2 linked regions of the Arabidopsis thaliana genome follow. The protein of the gene in region 1 interacts with the protein of each later gene in a biochemical or structural test. Each region holds a gene or a part of one and is shown in the gene's direction. Other genes may lie near its edges.

The links. Proteins that work in one complex are often made in the same cells at the same time.
Region 2: the proteins of DPA (region 1) and E2F1 form a complex in vitro, tested with the Arabidopsis thaliana proteins (one study listed by BioGRID).

The regions. Positions count from the first base shown.
Region 1 is NC_003076.8:541,523-546,807, reverse strand, and holds DPA (Transcription factor DP), read left to right. Parts: upstream 1-1,852; 5' UTR 1,853-2,093; exon of another isoform or gene 2,094-2,378; 5' UTR 2,379-2,384; coding exon 2,385-2,503; intron 2,504-2,590; coding exon 2,591-2,652; intron 2,653-2,735; coding exon 2,736-2,779; intron 2,780-3,018; coding exon 3,019-3,090; intron 3,091-3,178; coding exon 3,179-3,319; intron 3,320-3,413; coding exon 3,414-3,482; intron 3,483-3,703; coding exon 3,704-3,802; intron 3,803-3,880; coding exon 3,881-3,951; intron 3,952-4,044; coding exon 4,045-4,246; 3' UTR 4,247-4,490; downstream 4,491-5,285. UniProt on the Arabidopsis thaliana protein: Involved in the regulation of the G1/S transition. Increases the DNA binding and the transactivation activities of E2F proteins after heterodimerization. The complex DPA/E2FA promotes cell division and acts as a regulator of the endocycle.
Region 2 is NC_003076.8:7,358,339-7,365,028, forward strand, and holds E2F1 (E2F transcription factor 1), read left to right. Parts: upstream 1-2,196; 5' UTR 2,197-2,410; coding exon 2,411-2,593; intron 2,594-3,063; coding exon 3,064-3,226; intron 3,227-3,357; coding exon 3,358-3,414; intron 3,415-3,495; coding exon 3,496-3,581; intron 3,582-3,660; coding exon 3,661-3,749; intron 3,750-3,843; coding exon 3,844-3,898; intron 3,899-4,356; coding exon 4,357-4,409; intron 4,410-4,483; coding exon 4,484-4,534; intron 4,535-4,611; coding exon 4,612-4,660; intron 4,661-4,747; coding exon 4,748-4,813; intron 4,814-4,893; coding exon 4,894-4,967; intron 4,968-5,052; coding exon 5,053-5,323; intron 5,324-5,453; coding exon 5,454-5,523; intron 5,524-5,639; coding exon 5,640-5,782; 3' UTR 5,783-6,167; downstream 6,168-6,690. Other genes in the region: AT5G22210 (aspartyl/glutamyl-tRNA (Asn/Gln) amidotransferase subunit B), read left to right, coding at 1,211-1,453; OFP10 (Ovate family protein), read left to right, coding at 6,351-6,690. UniProt on the Arabidopsis thaliana protein: Transcription activator that binds DNA cooperatively with DP proteins through the E2 recognition site, 5'-TTTC[CG]CGC-3' found in the promoter region of a number of genes whose products are involved in cell cycle regulation or in DNA replication.

The DNA.
Region 1 (5,285 bases):
TATGCGTCATCATCAGTGTTTAGTATACATCGGCCTACGAATTTAATTAACTAATCCAGCTTTGTTGACTATCTAAGTGTATTATAAATTCTAAAACAATCGAATCAAAGAGTTTGAGGATAACTACGAGGACAACATATTTTTTACTTTAAAAAAAAAAAATGCATTTTGAGTCAGTTTTATGAGTATCATATTAGCTTGTTGATGTATTTCACCATGTCAGTTTTTAATTTATGAAGGCGAGTAATGATTGTGTAAAAACAATTTTGGGCAAACATAGGAAAAATATAAAAAACATATTAAATTTCCAAAATTAAATAAATAGTCTATTACTCTACTAGATTTCAGATGTTAAGAAAGAAAAAGCTACTGGAATAAATACGCATACCATATGATACGGTAACATTATTTTGTTTATTGTATGTTCAGTTCCTCAAGGGACACTTGAACATTATGAATAATATATTTACTGCAATAGATATAATTGTTTATGTGATATAAACGAAAGTTGACAAAAAAAGAAGACTAATTAAAGAGTAGAATTAGTGAACCAAAAAAAAGAGAAGAAAGAATCAAACATGACTTTAAAAACTCAATAATTGAGATCTGAGAAGACATTGAAGATGACCCCAAAAAGATATTGGGAGTTGCCACCTCTCATCTCCCAAAACAACGACAGATATACAAACAGCAAACAAACATTTAAATAGATCACACTATTTCTTTTTTTTGTAATGACAAAACATATATTTATATATTCTGACAACACATAGAAACATCAAAGTAAACAAATCAAATTTGAAGTTATATTGTTTCAAAATCTTATGATAGTGCATAGCTATGAATAGCATGAGGAATTGATTAGTCCATACCGGTCTGATTAAGGTATACGAGAAGGAAGGTATACATAAAGGTTAAACAAAAAAAGAGGTGAAGAAGAGAAACATGGCTAGTGAAACTCTAAACGGTTGGAAATGATGATGAAGCAATGAGTAAGAGAATGACTCTCCGCAATCAAGCAGCGTAGGAACTAGGAACAGCTTTGGTTCTCATGGCCATGCTCCAAACTTTCTTATCAACTCGAACTAGTTAAAACTACAAACAAAATAATTTAATTTAATCTTCATATGGAGAGAAAAAAAACAATCATGGAGAACAAGTGGCAAGTACCAAGTGGTTGCAATTATCATAAACATATCCTTTTTCAAACTTTAAAGCTTTTAATCGGTTAACAACTTGAACAAACAGTTATGCTGAAATTTATCATATAGTTTTCAGTACTATACGAGTACGATCATCGTATAAAGAAGAAAAAGAAAAAGGATCAAGCAACTATGCATATATTCTTTCGATCTAGTGAAAGTGCAACGCAACCTTCTCACACGTTGCAGGCTTAAAGCACTAACGTGTAAAACTATAAGCATCTTAGAAAAGAAATAAAAAGTATATGAGAATAGTGAGTTTTTTTTTTTAATAGTTACAAGTTGATGATACGGACCATGTCTTATATATAAGACGAAAAAATCATAAACTTTATAAGCTAGCGATAATGTTTTCAATAACTTAAATGCATACGTACCAAACATTTTTTCAAGATTCAGTGAACTTAATATTATTATTTTTTAAACAATTGGATCGAATACAAACACAACTGTCAACATATGTAATAGAGACAGCCAAATTTTCATTATTTATTTGGTAACGTTATCGATTATCAAAGAGTTTAATACGTGATCGATTTTAGACATATAATTAGCCCAACGGGCTTAAAATTACAAAGAGTTACAAAAGGCCCATTTAAATCCCCCGCCAAAGTTGAAAAACGACACCGTAGCGGTTGGGTTCGAACACAGAGAGTGCGTGTGTTTTGTTTTTGTTGAGGCTTTTGATGGGCTATGGAGAATTCTGTGTTTGTTTGTTGTTACAGTTTGTTTGTTTGTTTATAGCGGGAACTCTCACCCAAAGTAATTTCATCTCCGATTTTTTTTTTTTGGTTGTTGTTCGCATCTCTGTGTAATAAAAAGAGTAAAACCAAAACCCTAGAAAAAAAATCTCCATCTTTTTTTATTCCGCCATTGGAAGATCGATCACTGGTTCGTTCTTTGATCTTTTGAAACGGATTCGAGCTTTAGCCTTTATTTCTCTGAACTAGGGTTTTCTTCACCATCGTTAGATCTAATCCAACTGGTTGATGATTCCCATTTCATAAATTTTGTTTAGCTTTTGTTAAAAAATTGAAATTGGAGCTGTCAACAATTTAGGGTTTTTTAGATTGTGTCTATTGATTCATCGGTTTTAGTCAACGATGGATTTGAGACATGAACAACTAATTGATTTGATTTCGTGTAGCTAACTTTGTTAATTGGTAAATTGTGTAGAGAAGGATGAGTATGGAGATGGAGTTGTTTGTCACTCCAGAGAAGCAGAGGCAACATCCTTCAGTGAGCGTTGAGAAAACTCCAGTGAGAAGGAAATTGATTGTTGATGATGATTCTGAAATTGGGTCAGTGTTAATTATTCTTCTTACTCACAAAGTCTCTGGTTTTTTTACTTGGAGCTAAAATGTCTGTATTGAATTTGTGTTTAAAAGATCAGAGAAGAAAGGGCAATCAAGAACTTCTGGAGGCGGGCTTCGTCAATTCAGTGTTATGGGTCAGTGATATATCTCTCTTAGCTCAAACATGCCTGAAGTGAAAGTATTGTTGTTTTGCTGATTTTGATTTAACTTCACACAGTTTGTCAGAAGTTGGAAGCCAAGAAGATAACTACTTACAAGGAGGTATTACTCTCTTTGTTCCATTAAGGAATTGGTGATGTAATCAATGAGTTTTCAGTTTAAGACGCATTAGAATTGATCTTTATATGAACAAGTATTCACTTCAAGAAGCAATCCTCTAAGTTAGTTGTTGAGCATTGTCTCAAATTCTTCTTCTAATCAGGAGTCTTGCCCTTATATAGAGGCATTGTATCAGAAAATGTGAAAATCTACGTTTGAGACTGTGGCTCTTGTGATTCCAGGTTGCAGACGAAATTATTTCAGATTTTGCCACAATTAAGCAAAACGCAGAGAAGCCTTTGAATGAAAATGAGGTATAGCGAGATGGAAAGCTCATATCATCTGTCTTGAGTTATTTGGAAAAAAAAAAAGCTATAACAACATTCTCTTATGTTCAATCAGTACAATGAGAAGAACATAAGGCGGAGAGTCTACGATGCGCTCAATGTGTTCATGGCGTTGGATATTATTGCAAGGGATAAAAAGGAAATCCGGTGGAAAGGACTTCCTATTACCTGCAAAAAGGATGTGGAAGAAGTCAAGGTTTAGCTTCCAAGCTTTTCCTTTCAGTTATCTCATCTATGTAATTGCTCTCTCTCTTCGTCTTCTCTACTAATCTCTCTACCTCTATTTGCAGATGGATCGTAATAAAGTTATGAGCAGTGTGCAAAAGAAGGCTGCTTTTCTTAAAGAGTTGAGAGAAAAGGTGATCTTCTTTCTGTTTGATGGAAAATTTAAATACAAGACTCTCTTAGAATTTGAGATCTTGTTATGCATGTCAATAGATGACAAAAGTTATTGATATTGCAGGTTTTCTAGAATCCATAGATACGTCGTGTATTGAATCATTTTATGTTGTCTTAATGAAATGTTAAACCGTCTTTCTACGTTTTGCTTATAATGTTACTCAAATGTTGTTATCATCAGGTCTCAAGTCTTGAGAGTCTTATGTCGAGAAATCAAGAGATGGTTGTGAAGACTCAAGGCCCAGCAGAAGGATTTACCTTACCATTCATTCTACTTGAGGTACTTCAAAAATCTCTTTCTCGTCCGTAGTTTCTATTTCATGTTTTTCGATATCCTAATCTATTTCCATCTCTATAGACAAACCCTCACGCAGTAGTCGAAATCGAGATTTCTGAAGATATGCAACTTGTACACCTCGACTTCAATAGGTAAAAATAAACAACATTTCTTCTCAAAATCAAAATCAGTTCTGCTATCTCTTAAATCGGAATTGAAATCTTCGTAAATTTTGTTGTGAGCAGCACACCTTTCTCGGTCCATGATGATGCTTACATTTTGAAACTGATGCAAGAACAGAAGCAAGAACAGAACAGAGTATCTTCTTCTTCATCTACACATCACCAATCTCAACATAGCTCCGCTCATTCTTCATCCAGTTCTTGCATTGCTTCTGGAACCTCAGGCCCGGTTTGCTGGAACTCGGGATCCATTGATACTCGCTGACCGAGCTTCTATTCCCAAATTCTTCAAGAAGAAGAAGTAATGATCTAATTGGTATACTAAAAAATTATACATCTGGTTTAGTGTTCAATTGAGAGAGACTGTAAAATCAATTCATAGGCCAACAAATGTTTGTTTATCCAATTTTCCTTTTTATTCGAACTTGATGCGATATTTCAACGGAAACAGAAACTATTGTTTTAAACCAAAACTAACCGTGTTGAATCTATTGGCTATTTTCCTTCTGTTTGATTGGTCTAACAAATTTAGTCTCCGGTTAGGTTGGTTTACCGAAGCTAGTTAGATTCAATTTACGCGCTTAAATGGCGCGTGTGCTAGGAAAGTTCAAAATTTGCAATTCCCATGCAAAAATAATGTTTTTTGTCTGGAAAAGGAAAAAAAGAGACATCGCGGCGGTTCGAGGGAAAGAAAAGCGAAATTGGTTGGGGACACTTCGGAAGAATGTTGGACTGTTTTTCAATTGCCGTCAAAATAAATACTATATACTATTCTTTTCATCAACTTAATCTACTCATTCTCAATACATTTTAAATCAATATCATCTAATATTATTTAGTAATTAGTGTTGGCCCATTTTAGTCCAATCTATTAGTTACTTGTTTAGTTAAAGTTGAGGTATATAGACGTACTAAAATTCAAGCACAACCAATTTCTCTTCTGTATAATTAGATTTGTAGCTGATATAGTCCACAAAAGCAGTAGATATCATATCAGCCCTAATTTTCTTATAGAACAACTAAGATATATCACAATTGCAGTTTTCTCTTGAATACCACTAAGTACTAACGTCACCTAGATCCAATCCTAACGTTTATCATCTTTTATTTTATTTTTCGATTTTTTGCATGCTAATTAAAACGTTTCTAAATATCTTGACGTACATCAATGTTTTCTGATTTTTACTGACTTTAAAGTTTAAACCATACAACCAGTCAAGCTAAGTGCTTTTTTCTTTTATTTTCTAAAACTGTGTATATGTATAATTTGCACACATAGTACAGAAGTAGCAGTATTGCCAGAA
Region 2 (6,690 bases), 6.8 Mb from region 1:
CACACCTTACCGTGTGTGTAGCGTGAAGCACAATTATCCTTTTTCTTTTCCATAGAAAATGTTATCAATTTCTTTTCATAAATACAAAATTAACTGATCAACTTGATAACGTGAGAGATGAAAACAAACAAAAACAACACTTTTTTTTTTCTTTTCCTAACTTTAGAACTTTTGTGATTTCATAAAATTTTGGTTTTACAAATTCATAAAGCAAAAAAAGGAAAAAAAGATGATTACTATAGCGAATATTCGTCAACAAACTTAGTCACTTTGCAACTAAACCCACACTTGTAGTCTCTGTAGAGTGTAGTTCACCTTTTTGAGCATTCGTCGCTATGTTTCCACATTTAAACCATAACAGTTGGCCCAAAGAAAAAGTGAAAGCTAATGGGCTTTTTATGTTACTAGGCTTAACCCAGAAAATGACATACAGCTAGCGATACGACATTGGTTTAGCTCTGCAAAACGCTCTATAGTGTCTGTCTGGTCAGAAATTCTTCGACTCACTTTCGGTTTCTGATGTTTTGTCTCTCTGATTGAAAAAGGTAAAATCTCTTGAATCTATATCATATCGCTAAGCTTAATTTGCTGGCTAGGATTTTACCTGATTTTTTGGGTATATAGTGATGATAGAAATTTGAAGTAATTTCTCCAGTTTTCTCATTGATTTAGGGGTTTTAAATGTAGACTTAGTATTCATGAATGAGTTGATTTCTAATTGATATTATCATGTTAATCATCTTGAAGAATTGACCTTGAATTGGTGGTTCATAGATGTCTCATCTTGTACAATTTATTTGCTCGAGGATCTTATGATTCTTGGACATAGTGGAACAAAGATAGCTTTAAAAATGGACGCTGAGATGATTACTTGGTTGATGTATAATAGTTTGGTCTCTTAATTAAGGTTTTGATGGTCCTTAAGGTTAGTGTATAGCTTCTATAGAACTTTTTAGTCTCTCCTTTTAGATGGTTATGACGAATTGACGATTGTGTTATTCACGAGATAATTTGCATCCGAACATGTAAATGTTACACACTTGCAATATTGGTGTGCATGGAGAAATTATAGATTGTGTTAAGTGTTAATCCCAAAATGCATCTGCTAAAAGTGTTGCATAATCATCTTGTTGACTAGATAACTTGTTTTTGTGGTTTGGACAATGTGACGATACTATATATGATGTATGTAAAGATCGGGTTTTGCAAGATGGGAAACAAAGCTACAACGGTGAAAGAAGAACGCGAAGAGATCCATTTGAAGATTGTACCTCCATTGGACAAAGTTTTTCTGCGTTGGCTCGCAAGAGATCTCCAGAGAGTTCATGGATTCAAACCGAAGAACAACACTCGTGCGATCACTCCTCCAGATAGCTACATCGAGTTTATGCGGTTAAATGGATCGCTTGATGTAGATTTAGATGACCCTGATCTTGCCCATTTGTTCAAGTAAAAAGGGGTTCTTCTATTGTTGTCTCTGTTTGTTATGTATGAAGCTTTCAAAGTCTTAGTATCTTTTTTGATTACTCATACAGTCATACTTAAAGCTTGTGTTTTGGAAGCTCAGTCTATAAATATATATTATCTTCTCTAAACAGTATAGCATTCATAAGAGATCCAAGTGTCTGCATTCAGACGACACATGTTTCTATTGTCTTGGTGCTATGATTTGGAATCCCTATGTTTCGAGGTTCCATTTAAAAAAGTTGTTAAATGATGAGACACTCATGAGCATAATTTTCATCAATATAGTTTTGCCTCACCTATGAATTAAAAACAAAAAAACGTATAAGTTCGACAGATTTTGACGATAATTGCTCACACTTAACGCGTGTAACGGATGCTGCAACAGTTTGATGAAATTATTATGCTCCACTTCTTAACATGAATAAATCCAAAATTCATTTTTTTCCCCTCAATCTCAAGGAAATAAAACTGTATCCAAATTAGTTACATAGCTTTATTAACTTCGTTGACTTTAAAAAAAAAAAAACTTACTTAAAATTTTATAATTTTGTATTATATATAAAAATAGGATTATTATTATTTAGTAGAGAGATATTGGTAAAAAGATTTGTGTACAAAGAGAGAGATAAAGAGCGCTAATTCCCTCCACATCAGTATTCAGAACCAAACGCAACTCATTCCCTCGTTTTCTCTCTTCCTCTTCCACCGTCTCTTTTTTTTTTTTTTTTTATAATCCTTCCTCTTCTTCATCTTCTTCTCCTCTCCCGCTTTTTTTCGATTCGCCGATCTCTTCACATTCTCTTCCCGGAATCTCCGTAATTCCCGCCGTAGATCTGCTTCTTAATCGTTATTGGGATCTCTGCTTACCGGAGATCCGAGTTTCCGTGACAATTTTCGCCGTTTCTTTTTTTTTTTGGGGGATTTTTTATCGAGATTCGTTCTTATGTCTGAAGAAGTACCTCAACAATTCCCATCTTCTAAGCGGCAGCTTCATCCTTCTCTTTCTTCTATGAAGCCTCCTCTAGTTGCTCCTGGTGAGTATCACCGGTTTGATGCGGCGGAGACTCGCGGTGGTGGAGCTGTTGCTGATCAGGTTGTCTCTGACGCGATTGTGATCAAATCTACTGTAAGTCTTTTTTCTTCTCAATTTTGCTTGTGAATTTTGCTTTATAATTCTCGTGTTTTCGATTGTGTGTGAGGTTTGGTTTTATTGATTATGATTTTGATGATGTCGTTGCTTTAGATTTTGATGAGAATTGTGTCGGGATCTGCTTCTGTTGGTGTTAATTGCGTTTGGTCTCTTTTGATTAACCTTGTTTGTAGTATTGGAATTAGCATTGCAAGTACTTATTGAGTAGTTTAGTTGCTGGACTTAGGGTTTGTGGTGTTACTGTTATTGCTATTTAGAGCAGATTCATGCACTTTTGTGTTTATGTTTAGTTAAATTAGTTTCTGAATTTTGCTATGTTGGAATTGGTAAAAGTTGTGTCTATGCTTTTAGATTTCAGCATAGTGACAGTATGATGCTGATAGGATTTGATTCTGTTCAATTCGTTGATGTATTTAACTGTTCAATTTTGGTGACTTTATTGGCAGCTGAAGCGTAAGACAGATTTGGTAAACCAAATAGTTGAGGTCAATGAATTGAATACCGGTGTTCTTCAAACACCTGTATCAGGGAAAGGGGGGAAAGCCAAGAAAACTTCTAGGTCTGCGAAGTCTAATAAGTCTGGAACGCTAGCTTCTGGCTCTAATGCAGGTGAGTTTGGTTCTAAATGCTCTGTGTTAGTATGCCAATGAGAAATATTTCTTATGTGCTCATCTGAGCTAAATCTTCTTTAAAGAGTGGAGATATTGCAATGTAGTGAGAAGGATCTTTTGTGTTGGCAGGTTCTCCTGGAAATAACTTTGCACAGGCCGGTACTTGTCGATATGATAGTTCGTTAGGTAATAACTTATTTCATTAACTAATGTTTAAAAAATGTACTTTTGGATAATAAGTTTTTTTAATGATTTAATCTGCTTCAGGTCTTTTGACAAAGAAATTTATCAATTTGATAAAACAAGCAGAGGATGGTATTCTTGATCTAAACAAAGCAGCTGATACTTTAGAGGTGACATATTTGAACTCTAGACTCCCATATTGATGTATTACTTTCTGTCAAACTTAGCTGTATGTTCCTGTTGATGCAGGTACAAAAGAGAAGGATATATGATATAACCAATGTGTTAGAAGGAATAGGTTTGATAGAGAAGACGCTTAAGAACAGGATTCAGTGGAAGTAAGCATGTCTTAGAACTGTCAAATCTTGGATTCCTTCCATTTGATGACTCATGTGTGAGCGACAGTACTCTGAATTTTCTTGTCTGTCTTAGGGGTCTCGATGTCTCAAAACCAGGAGAAACAATCGAAAGCATAGCTAACCTACAGGTACAGAACATGCCTATATATTCTTTACCTTTTCATTGCACATTTCACTGCGAACTCTGTTATGCAATGCTCAGTATTATCACCAGTTTTATTATTGTTTTCACGTTAAGGGTATATCTTAGCTTGCATTGTCTTCTTGAACATCGTATGAATCTGCATTAGTATGATTCTTGTTATGCCTGTTTTCTGAGAGCTAAATGTGTTAGGAGGTAACTAGGATACTAGTAAATTTACCATACACACAAACATCGATGACATGTAACCACAAGCTCTGTTTTGTATACCCGTACTGGCACCTTTGAATGATGAGTTTCTGTTTTATGTTTGAACCTGTTGAATAAGTGGAAATTGGTACTGCAGTTTTTCTTCGATCTCAGTCACTTGCATTGATTTCTTGTTTTGGGTTTTTGGTTCGAAAAACTATTCATGTTTTATAATTCCTGTTACCAATCTTACAGGATGAAGTACAAAACCTCGCAGCTGAGGAGGCAAGATTAGATGACCAAATCAGGTATTTTCGCAGATAATTTTCCTTCCCTTTTCTGCTGTTTTGTATCATCTTTTTGAGAGTCGACCTGGTTGCAGAGAATCACAAGAAAGATTAACAAGCTTGAGTGAGGATGAAAACAACAAAAGGTAAGCGTCCCCTGCTATTTCTTCTGCCGAAAGGTACAATAAAACATATCTGTTTGTTCTGACGCTCCACTTTTTAGGTTACTGTTCGTCACTGAAAACGACATTAAGAACCTACCATGCTTCCAGGTCTGGTCTCCTTCTAGTAATTACGTGTTTCTCTTTGCCTTGCATTCTTCTCACTGGGGAAACATGTTTTTGTGGTGCCTATTTTAGAATAAGACGCTGATAGCTGTAAAGGCACCGCATGGAACAACTCTTGAGGTTCCAGATCCTGATGAGGTAAGCTTAAGAGCGCACAAAACCAAATGAGCGATGCACTGTCTGTAACGATTCTCACCTCTTATCCTGCCATTAATCAGGCTGGTGGTTATCAGAGGAGGTACAGAATCATTCTGAGAAGCACAATGGGACCAATAGACGTGTACCTAGTCAGGTAACACTGTCCTCAAACGTTATGCTTGCCCTGGATAAATCTGTAACATGGAAGTGAGACTGACATTTATATTGTGCTTTTTTAGTCAATTCGAAGAGAGCTTTGAGGACATTCCTCAGGCTGATGAACCTTCAAATGTTCCTGATGAACCCTCTAATGTCCCTGATGTACCTTCAAATCTTCCATCAACATCTGGTCTCCCTGAGAACCATGATGTATCTATGCCGATGAAAGAGGAAAGCACCGAAAGAAACATGGAAACACAGGAAGTTGATGATACGCAAAGAGTTTACTCTGACATCGAATCTCATGACTTTGTCGATGGTATCATGAAGATTGTTCCTCCAGATTTGGATGTAAGTCCCAACTGCTTCCTCAGCTTAAAATTTTCACCAATGTACATAATCACAGTCTGGAAAAGTAACCATATCTAAAAAATCATGCTTGACTTAATTCATATTTACCTGTATGTTACATTATATACAGATGGGTGTAGATTACTGGTTTCGATCAGAGGTAGGCGAAGTCAGCATCACAGACATGTGGCCAGATGAATGTATCCTTGATTTCTATCACTTTCTGTGATTTAATCTAATCTCTCTTTGAGCTTTTGAGTTTTTTCCTCCCCAAATATGATATCTGTTTAGAGCTCCTTGACTCTTTCATCATTAGCTGGACCAGACTGGAACCAGATGATTACATTTGATCAAGACCACGCTGGACCGAGCGACAACAAAATCTTGGAGCAGCCACAAACTCCATCGAGCCCAACACCAGAAGAATCCACTGCTACGAGATCACCTACAGGTAGCTGAAGTTACCATACCACATTACAAGCACCACCATATATCTGTACATAGAATCTGATTTCGGTGAAACCAGAGTTAATGTTGTACTTGTACAGTAGCTGCATTGCATTATCATAGAATAGAGATTGCAAAATAAAAGTAGAGAAACCAACCCCTTCGTTGTATTCTTCATTTTTTTTCTTTGTTAGCTTCTCAGGCTTAATATAGAATTAGCCTTAGCCCATTGATTTCTTAATATTGGTCTTGTTCATGTGAAACTGCAAAACCTTTTAGAGTTGTAGACGGGTGCTTAGTAGTTTTACATGCTCCATTTCCGGTTTACCAAAAAGGTAACCAGATCGAAACTAAAACATATTTCCGTTCATCAAAAATCTTGACGAAAACATATTGGTTCGGTTGTGGTTTGAGAGATTTCTTTTTGGTTCAAATCGGTTTCTATGTCCAATCCTTTGATATCACTCGAGATAGTTTCTTACAAATGATATCATATATAACTTTGAATTCACCTCAAGATGGTATTATTTTCCTTAAAAAAGAAATCCATCAAAATTGTGCATCTCCAAAGCAATGAGCAATGCTGAATCTCCAAGCTAAGTTAAATGAAAAAAAGGTTCCTCTTTTAACAAACTTTCCCACACCAACATCCTCACTCAATAATCTCAACTTGTTTTCTCTTCCTCTAGTAAAAAAAAAAATGTCTTTCAAGAAGATGATGAAGTATATACTCAAAACCATATTCAAACCCATTTTTATGGCATGCGGTTGCGGCTCTACCGTTCCACCTTCCTCTCACAGCCACTACACCCCGGGACCACCGGTTTCTCCCACGGTTTTACGCAGCCCATGTCCTAAGATCGATGAGAGCGTCGCGATGGCTAAAGAATCAATCAATCCGTTCGAAGATTACAAGAAGT